2 linked regions of the Drosophila melanogaster genome follow. The protein of the gene in region 1 interacts with the protein of each later gene in a biochemical or structural test. Each region holds a gene or a part of one and is shown in the gene's direction. Other genes may lie near its edges. The genes, in order: Tao and msn.

Region 1 (4,913 bases):
CCACCTGCTCCGATACGCATTCGTAAGCCCATCTGGCATCCGTTCTTCAGTTCCGGTTTCCTGCCCGGGGCCTTCGATGTGGACTACGCTGATCCTCCGGCACCACGACCTCCAGCGCCTGCGCCGCCCACTACACAGCCACCTAGACGCGTCCGACCGCAGGTGCGACCACGTCCACGCCCAACGACACTGGCACCGCCTCCTCCGCCGAACTATGACTACGACTATGACTATGATGCGCAGCCAGCGGCGCCAGCTGAACCTCCACCGCCTCCACCTCCTCCGCCGCCGCCCACAGCTCCGCCACGCCCAAGGCCACGGCCGCGCCCACGACCCCAGCAGCCCGATCCTCAACAGCGGCGTCCCGCCCAGCTGGGCGACCGCCTTATCTATCAGTACGCACAACCTACTGGTAAAATACGAAACCTCTTAACTAACTGCCGTACAATTGGGTTCTCTCCGACACTTTGCAGATACCTTCTTTAGGTCGCGAGCCGTGGCGGAGGCGACGGCGGCGGCTGACCCAGACAGCGGAGACTTAGTTGACTCCCAGGACCCGGACTCAGTTGCCGATCCGGATGCGGCTGCATTTCCTGTCACTGCAGATGGGCCTGACTCCCAACCTGCTTCTCCCCCACCAAGTGCTTCGCGATTTTTGGTCAACTACGAGAGCGATGACGACTTTGGGCAGCCGTTTGCTGGACAGCGGGCTCAGGATGCGGGTCAGGATGGGGGTCAGGATCAGGGTTCAGCGGGTGCTTCTGGTATTCCCGCATCATCCCAAGGCTACTTCCCGCCCCTCGAGCTTGGCAACACGAATCGCTTCCCAACTTTCAATCAGCAGCAGTACTTCTATAATTAAGCGGTAGAGTTTCTCATTTTTCCAACGTGGGCAATAAAATTAACTTCGCAGCTTGATATATTATGTGTATGTACATATGTATAGCTTATGTGTTGCAGTGTGCTTAAAATTGAACATAAACTATTTTAAATATAAGCATCCATTTTTTTGTATTCCCAGTTTGCATAGTTGTAAATAACATATCAAATAAAGTAATAATGTAAGTTCCCCGTAATTTATATTAACTAGGAGGGCGTTAAATAGCTAAGTAAATACCGTATCATGAAATTATCAGTATGTTTTCAAAAAGTGCGCCAAACTTGTTGCGATGAGTATCGGTATTTGACTTAGCGAACTGAGCTATTAAAAAGTTATTAAAAATTTGATACATATATGTGTTCTTCTAACATAGATACCCAACTGCGATTTCGTGAGCTGTAATTCTGCAGAATTCTGTATAAGTTAAATTATTGATTTTCAAACATTAAAAAAAAAAACTAATAATTCCAAAACGATAGCGTAACCACGGACATCACCACCCGGTGCACGTTCGATAGACTATCGATAGAGACCAAAAAACGAACCTTTTCTCTTAAAACTAATTGAATTGAGCGAATTCAACTATAAAAACGCCTCTGCAAGAGTTAACTTCGCAAACATATTGAAAAAAATAAGTTAATTTTAAATATATCGCCTAAAATCGGGATTTTTTAGTAAAAAGCGGTCAGTGGTAGTTTTTGGTTTCAAGCCGCTCGGCTGATCTGGTAACACTGTGTGCTGTGTGAACGTGAACTTTACGGAATTTAATTAGAGAAACGGGTGAAGAAAAGTTGCAAATAGACAATCGCTGCCAATTTTCCATGCCGTAGATGGGTGCATCTGCGACGTAACGATCCCCCGAATTCGGTGCTTGGCACTCGAGATGTGTAGCCAGTGCGGATTCGTGAACGCAACGCGTGTGCAGTGCAGGGCAATAGTTGCCATTCCCAGTAGCAGTATCACTACCACTACCAGTCCCATTCCGATTCCCGTTCCCAGTCGCAGCAGGGCCAATAACAGCAGCAGCGGTCGTAGGGAAAGCGACGTATGAAAGGGAAAAATGCATACAGATGCGAAAAGCGAGACCCAGTTGCGCCGATAAACAAGCAAGCACTAATTGATTGCCAAATGTAAGCCCTCGAACGCAGTGGAAAAAGTTCAAACGTTTTTTCTTTTTCGCCTCGCCAGATTTATGCATTTTCCACTGTCTCTCCATCCCTGTGTGCGTGTGTGCCTGTGTGTGTGAATGCGTATGCTCGTGTACGTGTGTGTATGTGCATACTGTTCTTTTTCGCGTTTGCGTTTTGGCCAATAAATGCGAATTTCTTGTGTGCCATCTGCCCATTGAATTAACAATGTGGTATTATCATTGATCCCACAAATTTCAATCAAATACAGCGCATTTGCGGGTTCTGAGTGCTACATCTGATTTCGGTGCGACGACTCCCTCAACGCGCGAGAACGGGATAGCACCAGTCGAACCATACGAATGTGTGTGTATTTGTCTGCTCCCCCGACGAGCGTGAGTGTGTGTGTGTGCAAGCAAAACAAAATTAGGCGATTCAAAACAGTTGCAAAATGCAGCGAAATAAGCCAATTTTAATCGCAACACATAGATCAACCATGGTAATCAGTCAATAAGTGGTCAGTCAACGAAGAAAACCAACAACTGGCGCAGCATCACCGCCTTCGTGCGTTCTTTTTCGGCTCCTTCGGTGTGTGCCTAGTCCGCACCCAAGGAAAAGCCAACCCAACTGAAAATCAATTCGAATCGCAGAACTCTTTGGTATTCTACTACAATTCCCTGTGACGGAGCGCCACAGCACAGTGCAAGCCACGGAAAAGGCACGAATTGAATTGAATTTGTGTCGCCCGAAATGCAAAACAACAAGCAATCCCACCGCACATATACATATAGAGCGCGCGCGTGAGTGTGTGTGAGCGACATGGCTGCTCTTTGTGCAATAGTGTGGTGGCTATGAAAAATAGGCGTGTTTCTGTTTCGCGTCGCAGGCAAAGAATTGCAGTCGCCGCACCACAGCGGACTAATTGTATTGAGAATTTTTGCCAGGCGGCGATAGGCGAAAGCCGGAGCTCCGACGGGGGCCAAAATCCGCGTCTTTAGCCGGCGGATATCCGCAGACGCCCGCAAAACGCCTCCGCATGCACAGACATGCATACTCCAATGTATGCATGTGTGTGTGTGTATTTGGATTCGCAACGGCGATAAATGCACCCCTTTGGTGCCGTTACTCCTTGGCAGCTCGCGTGTGTTTGTGTGTCAGTCGTAACGACCTTTGATTACCCTGCAGCACGTGTGCATACCCTACACCTAGCTAGTTAGTCCAGCTTGACCACAAATACCGCCCTACTGCACGTGCGCATCCACTCCACTCATTACTTGTTCGAAATCCAAGCAAATGAACTTAACGGCGTTAGTCATACCGACTGCCAAATGCCCTAGACCACTTACACCCCAGCTGTCGTAATCTGGCCAAAAAGCAGCTGACAAGTTGGTAACAAGCTGAGGAAAATAGCCTGGCCATAAAAGACGGTGCCAACAGTGAATATATTTGCGATAAGGCCGTGCTGCGTGCGGAATTCGGAGTTTTGAATGATTCGTACAGTATGTGCGAGCATGAATCACTTGATCGATTTGATGATAGTCGGCTTTTAGCTGTTCCCATCCGTCCGTCCGTTTGACCGTCTCCCCATGCAAATGCTGACCAAAGCACAGTGCCCACTGTCCACTGGCCCAGCCATTCCCGCTACGCCCCGTGCCGCCCAATTCAATTGGTCCGCAGTCTCAGCGTTTCAGCCTGAAATCCCCCAAAAATGTCGACCCTTTGAACATGACTAAGTGACTGGCGCAGGCTGTGAATGTGACTGACTAACCGGAATCGCCTTTTTTTCGCCCCACCCGATCCGCACAGAACTTCAAGACAGCAGAGTAGCCAGCTGGAGCTGCAAGCTGCGAGGAGAAGCACGCAGGTCGACCACTGAGAGAGCTGGGCTAGAGCATGAAAGACAGCCATGCCTTCGGCACGACCTGGTAGTCTCAAGGATCCGGAAATAGCCGACCTATTCAACAAGCATGACCCGGAGAAAATCTTCGAGGACCTGCGCGAAATCGGCCATGGGTCTTTCGGCGCGGTCTATTATGCGCGATGCAACCTCACCAGGGAGATCGTGGCCATCAAAAAGATGTCGTACACCGGCAAGCAGAGCCAGGAGAAGTGGCAGGATATTCTCAAAGAGATACGGTGAGCACTGGCTGACACTTGCGTTCGCCCGAGTGACTTCTAATCAATTTATGTGTACACAACAGCTTCCTTCGCCAATTGAACCACCCGAACACCATAGAATACAAGGGATGCTATTTGCGCGAATCAACCGCCTGGCTGGTGATGGAGTACTGCGTGGGCTCCGCCTCGGACATCATCGAGGTGCACAAGAAGCCGCTGCACGAGGACGAGATCGCCGCCATCTGTCTGGGCGTGCTCAGTGGGTTGAGCTATCTGCACTCGCTGGGCCGCATCCACCGTGACATCAAGGCGGGCAACATCCTGCTCACGGACAACGGCGTCGTCAAGCTGGCCGATTTCGGTAGCGCTGCCATCAAGTGTCCGGCCAACAGTTTTGTCGGCACGCCCTATTGGATGGCGCCCGAGGTGATCCTGGCCATGGACGAGGGCCAATACGACGGCAAGGTGGACGTGTGGTCGCTGGGCATCACCTGCATCGAACTGGCAGAGCGCAAGCCTCCCTACTTTAACATGAACGCCATGTCGGCGCTCTACCACATTGCGCAGAATGAGTCGCCGACTCTTCCGGTGAGTAGCAATCGAAGTTTTAATTTCTTGGTAGGAGTCTGTTTTGATAGCAAAACTGAAGTATGCCAATGTATTTATTTACGTATCGCTCTCATGTGTCCCTAGTGTTATTGTTTTATTTCCCACTTTTGGGGCTGGGGCAAGTTATATTTTACCCATTTGTATAGTAGAGCCTCCAGATTCTGCTTAAAAAAGTGTTT
Region 2 (5,268 bases), on another chromosome or scaffold:
TAGGCACGACCGGCCTTCAGGATGGGCTTGTCGATACGACCGCCGCCGGCGACGATGCCAACCATGGCGCGGTTGGCCGAGGGCACGACCTTCTTGGCGCCGGATGGCAGCTTGACACGCGTCTTCTTGGTGTCCTGGTTGTGGGCAATCACGGTGGCGTAGTTGCCAGAGGTGCGGGCCAAACGGCCGCGATCACCGGTCTTCTCCTCCAGGTTGCAGATGATGGTACCCTCGGGCATCTGGCTGAGGGGCATCACGTTGCCGATCTGAAGGGTGGCCTTGCGGCCGCAGTACACGAACTGGCCGGTGTGCATGCCCTCGGGGGCGATGAACAGCTCCTTGCGGATCTTGTAGCGGTAGGGGTCGCGGAAGTGGACGACGGCCAGAGGAGCGCCACGGCCGGGATCGTGGATGATGTCCTGAAACATGGAAGAAGTACGATTCGCTTAGTTACACTTCAAAAGCAGTTAAGCCAAGTGAGCTAAGTAACTTCTAGTAAGCTGGCACAGGTGCTCAAGCACGTCTCTTGAATGTGGCATGGCCAAATGCAAGTGATCTCATCCACATTAAACGGATAGGTGTAGTTGGTGATCCTAGGAGCACGTTACTCACCTTGACAACTCCGCGGATGTAGCCGGAACGCTCGGCGAAGTCCAGGGAACGCAGCTTGGCGGCTCCCTTGCGCTTCTTCACGTGCGCCTTGAACACGGAACCAGCTCCCTTACGCTGTGCACGAATAACGCGACCCATTGCTGCAAGACAAATTCACGGGATTAGTACTCGAACTCCATATTGCAAATGCGGCGGTTTCACTAAATAAGATGGCCATCTTCAATGCAACACGCTACGGAATTTCGATCTTATTCGAATATTTTGACGGAAAATTGAAATATTCCATGTTACACGGTTATAATGTTAAATTGCGCACTGTAAACAATTTCCGCAATTGAAAACACCACCAAATTTACAAAATTTAGCACGTGGCTTACCGTAAAATTAAAATTGCCCAATACGACCACTCCGGAAACGGGGCGAAAAGAAAAGAAAAGAGGAAGACATCCTAGAGGTGGGCAGGGAATAGTGTGGCTGTGTTTGGCGTCTGGCGTCGTGACTAACGTGCTGCTGGGGAAAGAGCTGTTTCTCACTGCTATTTTGGGTATTCGCGAAATTGTTAATTTGCTAATAATAATAAATAAAATAATAAAATTTATCATATTAAATCTTCAAATTCAGTTTTCGGAAGTTTTACTAATCAGTAGCTCACTTGCCCAGAAAATTTGGTTTGATTTCAATCTTCGCAAGGTCAATTTCGCTGAAATCTGCTTTACCTAATCGAAACGTTTCTAAACTGGATAATTTTAATATAAGTTAATCGATTTTATATATGTATATAATAATTCAATTAGATGTATGAATAATTCGAGTTGAGCTGGAAAGTTGTGTCGAGCACTTGCCAATTGGATGAGAAGTGAAAAAGGCGACCCAATCAGAAATAAAATAGAGAGTGAAAAGAAACCAGTGGAAATATTCCGAAGCCGAAAGATATTTTGGACTATGCTATGCGTTCCACTGGCGTACATTTTTAGACGTCTTTATTTAACACATCTAATCTTCGACCATACATATCTTATTCTTATATTCCAATTCTGATTATTATATAACTTTAATAGGAAATGACTCAACGATTTGTGTTACCCTATGAAATAAAATATTAAATATGTTAATATTTTTTATTTTCCCAGCCTCTTTTTTCTAATTGGAATTAGTAAATGTCTATAATCTAATTTATTGATTACAGTTGCAAATTTGTTAATTTGCTATTCTGAAAGAGAAGAATATACGGGCACACGAATTGGCCTTTTACGGCTCGATATGTTTGCGGTATGTGCGCAGAAATGAGAACGGTAATCGCGGGGTATTTTTCAGTTCGCGATGGAATAAGCTGCCATCGGCTAATTGGTCACACTGTTGGAATCCGTCGGGGTTTTGGCGTCGCGTAAAACGGAAAACCGTTCTGATTTTCACTGAAGTTGGGAAATTGAACTGTTCAGCTGGTTGTGCGATGCAAAGGCGATAGGCGCCCATCGCTGTGCGTGAAGAGTACGTATTCGCGGTGCGCCAGTGAAAATCGCGAGTCCTGCGCGAGAACGCAAAACGCAATCGGGAGGAAAAAGCGAGTGGCAGATTTTTTCTGTCTACCTACACAAACACATACGCAGGCTACTGCACTGGTGTGGGTGTGTGTGTGAGGCTGGTCCATCGGAGCGCCGCAAAAAAAATATTGAAATTGTGCAGTGTGTGCGAAGTAGCAGATGAATCGGCAGTGATAAATAAATGGTTTAAGGGCGAGAAAAGATTTTATAAAGTGCTGGGGAATTAAAAGAGCCGCGCCCCGTTTGCCAAACGTTAACTAACACACACAAACACTCCGTCACAAAACACACATACGCACGCAGAGCCAGAGCAGTGAGAAAGAGAGATGGAGAGAGACAGAGAGCGAGAAGAAGAGCGGAGAAGCGAAAAGAGAAAAGTTGTATGACAGCAACAAATAGTTTGTTAATTGCACGGGTTTTTTATTGTGGCATTTGTCATTTAGAGCGTATAAATCTTAAATCGCGGTAAAGTGCGTATAAATCTAAAATCGCAGTAAAGTCCTGCGGCCGCTCCTTCTCCACTCTATTTCTCTCCCCGTTGTTTTGTCCCCTCCCCCCGTTCACCGTCTTATTTGCATTTCTCCTCTCTCCACCTCTTTCTGCGTGCGAAGAATCAGCAGCAGCAATTCTCCAGATCCAGAAGAACAAAATAAAATAGCAAATCAAAATGGCGCACCAGCAGCAACAACAACTGGCTCCATCGGTCAACTGTTCACTGGACGATATCGATCTGACGGCCCTAAAAGTGAGTCAATAAGCTGCGGTTATCCATCTCGAATGGAAATGGAATACGACTAGAAATAGAACCAGCAGCAGAGCCCCCCGAAAATAGAGCCCCCACATTGCCCCCTCCCCATCAGCTATATTCATTAACAAGCCTCGCCCGATTAACGGGAAAGTGACCGCCCCGTGATTATTTTCCCAGGTGTGGTCGTTTACACTCCAATTTCCGTTCGTTATTTGTTAGTTCGATTTCACAAACTATTTACACTATCTGAAAGGTTTCACAATCGATTAGTTTCAAAAAGATGTAAAATATACCGAGATGCAACCAATACGAATTCTTTTTTTTTGATATTATGATGAATTTTTTATTTTATATTCCTGCAATTCGCAAAGAAGCCCCTTTACTCAGAACTTGGTTCCAAAAATACCCCACAATATCTTACCCAACTCGATTGGCCTTTCCAGTCGTCAAACCCTCGAAGGTTTCCCCCGCACATTTATGCAAATTGTTTAAAAGTACAACAAAAGCGAGTTCTTTTTCTTTGTGTTCTTCCTTTTTTGCACTTTGCCATGGCAACGAAAAAAGGTTTTTTTTTCTGGATTTCCGTTCTCCCCCTCGAAGCAATCACAATAATAATCGAGTTGATAACTGCACATTGACATTTCGATTTCATTGCCTGACAAAAAACCACCCAACTTGGCACCACCCACCCTGTAAGTTTTGAATGTGAGAGTGGTGTGCGCAACTTTTGACCGGCCGGTGCCACCTTCTCCGCTTTGCCAAGCTATTTTTTGTTTCGCTTCGTTTCTCAATGAATTTGTCGAGTCTTAACCCCCTTTCGGCCGCCTTAGCACCCCCCTTTAACCCCCCTGTGGCCGCACGCACTGCCGCATGCGTTTGTTGCCTTTCTCTTTCACCAAACATTCACCACTCTCAGCACTTTTGGTGGCGGAACGGAACTCACCACGCCCGCCGGCCCCACGTTGGGCGCCATCTCTTTTGCTTTGCGCACCCACCGAAAGTTCAGTTTGGCACAAGTGTGTGTGTGAGTGTCCGTTTGTTGACTCTGCCTGGATGTGGTGGGTGGTGGGGGGGGGGTCAATGTGGAGTGGGCTGGTGGTGGTGCTTGGGTCGTCGCCTCGCTGCTACGGCATGTGCGCCGCTGTGGTTGTGTGTGTGCTTCACCCACAGATGAGGCCAAAATAATAGGCTTTAAGGCGGCCTTAAAAAAGGGATGTTCCGTGAAGTTCTATAAATTAAGTTAGCACTAAAAATCTGGAGTCAAATTTAAGAGATCACAGCATTAGTTTGGGAAGAGTTTTAGTTGGCTTTCGTACGGATAATATTACTTGTTTGTTCGTATACATGAAAATATACATATACAAACAAGTGTATTTTTCGGATTAAAGGCTCATTGCCGATTGACTTATATTCACAGTTCTTTTGAGTAGAACGAGGCTCCGCAGGCACTATTATTGTAGCCCCAACTGTTAACCCGTGTGTGTTTATGAAAAATTGTTCATAGTCGATGCAGAGCGACGAAGACGAGACAAAAACGAGACAAGAATGAAAATTGTTTAGTTTACTTTATTAAAAGGCGGCAGGCAGAAGCGAGCAGAGCAACACCATGCGTGCTTTTGTATCTATGCGAGTCGCATGTATCTGAATCGCTGTGTGTGTTTGTATCTGCGCTGCAGCAGACAGCTTGAAGATGGCGATAATGTGGACTCAAATGATAATGATGATGAAAACGATGATTAAGATGGGGCACACACACAACACCGGCTGCCAAGAAAAGCGGCGACGAACCCAAAGCAAAATCAGCAAAAATGGCAGCAGGCATGAGAATCATGAATTGTGATGTGTGTCTTGTTTGAAGTGTTGTTTTTATTTTTGTTTTATTTCTGTTTGGCCTTCTCCTCTCGGTGAGGGGCGCTAAAGTGGGCGTGGACGTGGGCGGCCCCTCGCCTGCATGTCTGCCATATTCCGGTGACCTGTCTGTGCGTGGCTTTTAAAGGTCATTAAACACAATGGCCGAGAGAAGAGAGATGCGATAGCTGTGGAATGTCCCGAAATAGAAAACGACAAAAGGTCAGAGTCCTTAAAGCTAAGGTTCTTTCTCTCGAAACTGGCTCGCTTTGTTAGGCTTCCGTTCTGGTTTCTGTTCACTCGATAAGAACTCCACTCCCCTCCACTCCTTGTGTCTGATAAGATACCACAAGCTGCATTCATCAGCACAAATTTCATTAATTATTTCTGGTTTTTACGACTCCCCATTTATTTGTATTTGGTGCAGTTTCTTTTATTCTCCACTGATAAGCATTCAAACGCGGTTCGTCTTCATTTTGGTGTGGCTTCCACTTCTTTATGTGTATTTCACTCGCATGT

The links.
Region 2: of the proteins of Tao (region 1) and msn, one has a biochemical effect on the other in vitro, tested with the Drosophila melanogaster proteins (one study listed by BioGRID).

Annotation. Positions count from the first base shown.
Region 1 is NC_004354.4:19,576,495-19,581,407, reverse strand, and holds the start of Tao (Tao), read left to right. Parts: upstream 1-1,607; 5' UTR 1,608-2,010; intron 2,011-2,905; exon of another isoform or gene 2,906-3,506; intron 3,507-3,813; 5' UTR 3,814-3,913; coding exon 3,914-4,143; intron 4,144-4,208; coding exon 4,209-4,713; intron 4,714-4,913. Other genes in the region: CG14218 (uncharacterized protein), read left to right, coding at 1-412, 474-862. UniProt on the Drosophila melanogaster protein: Serine/threonine-protein kinase which regulates the Hippo/SWH (Sav/Wts/Hpo) signaling pathway, a signaling pathway that plays a pivotal role in organ size control and tumor suppression by restricting proliferation and promoting apoptosis.
Region 2 is NT_037436.4:2,583,235-2,588,502, reverse strand, and holds the start of msn (misshapen), read left to right. Parts: upstream 1-1,962; 5' UTR 1,963-2,100; exon of another isoform or gene 2,101-2,237; intron 2,238-2,248; exon of another isoform or gene 2,249-2,466; intron 2,467-2,764; 5' UTR 2,765-2,820; coding exon 2,821-2,898; intron 2,899-5,268. Other genes in the region: RpL8 (ribosomal protein L8), read right to left, coding at 1-419, 613-750.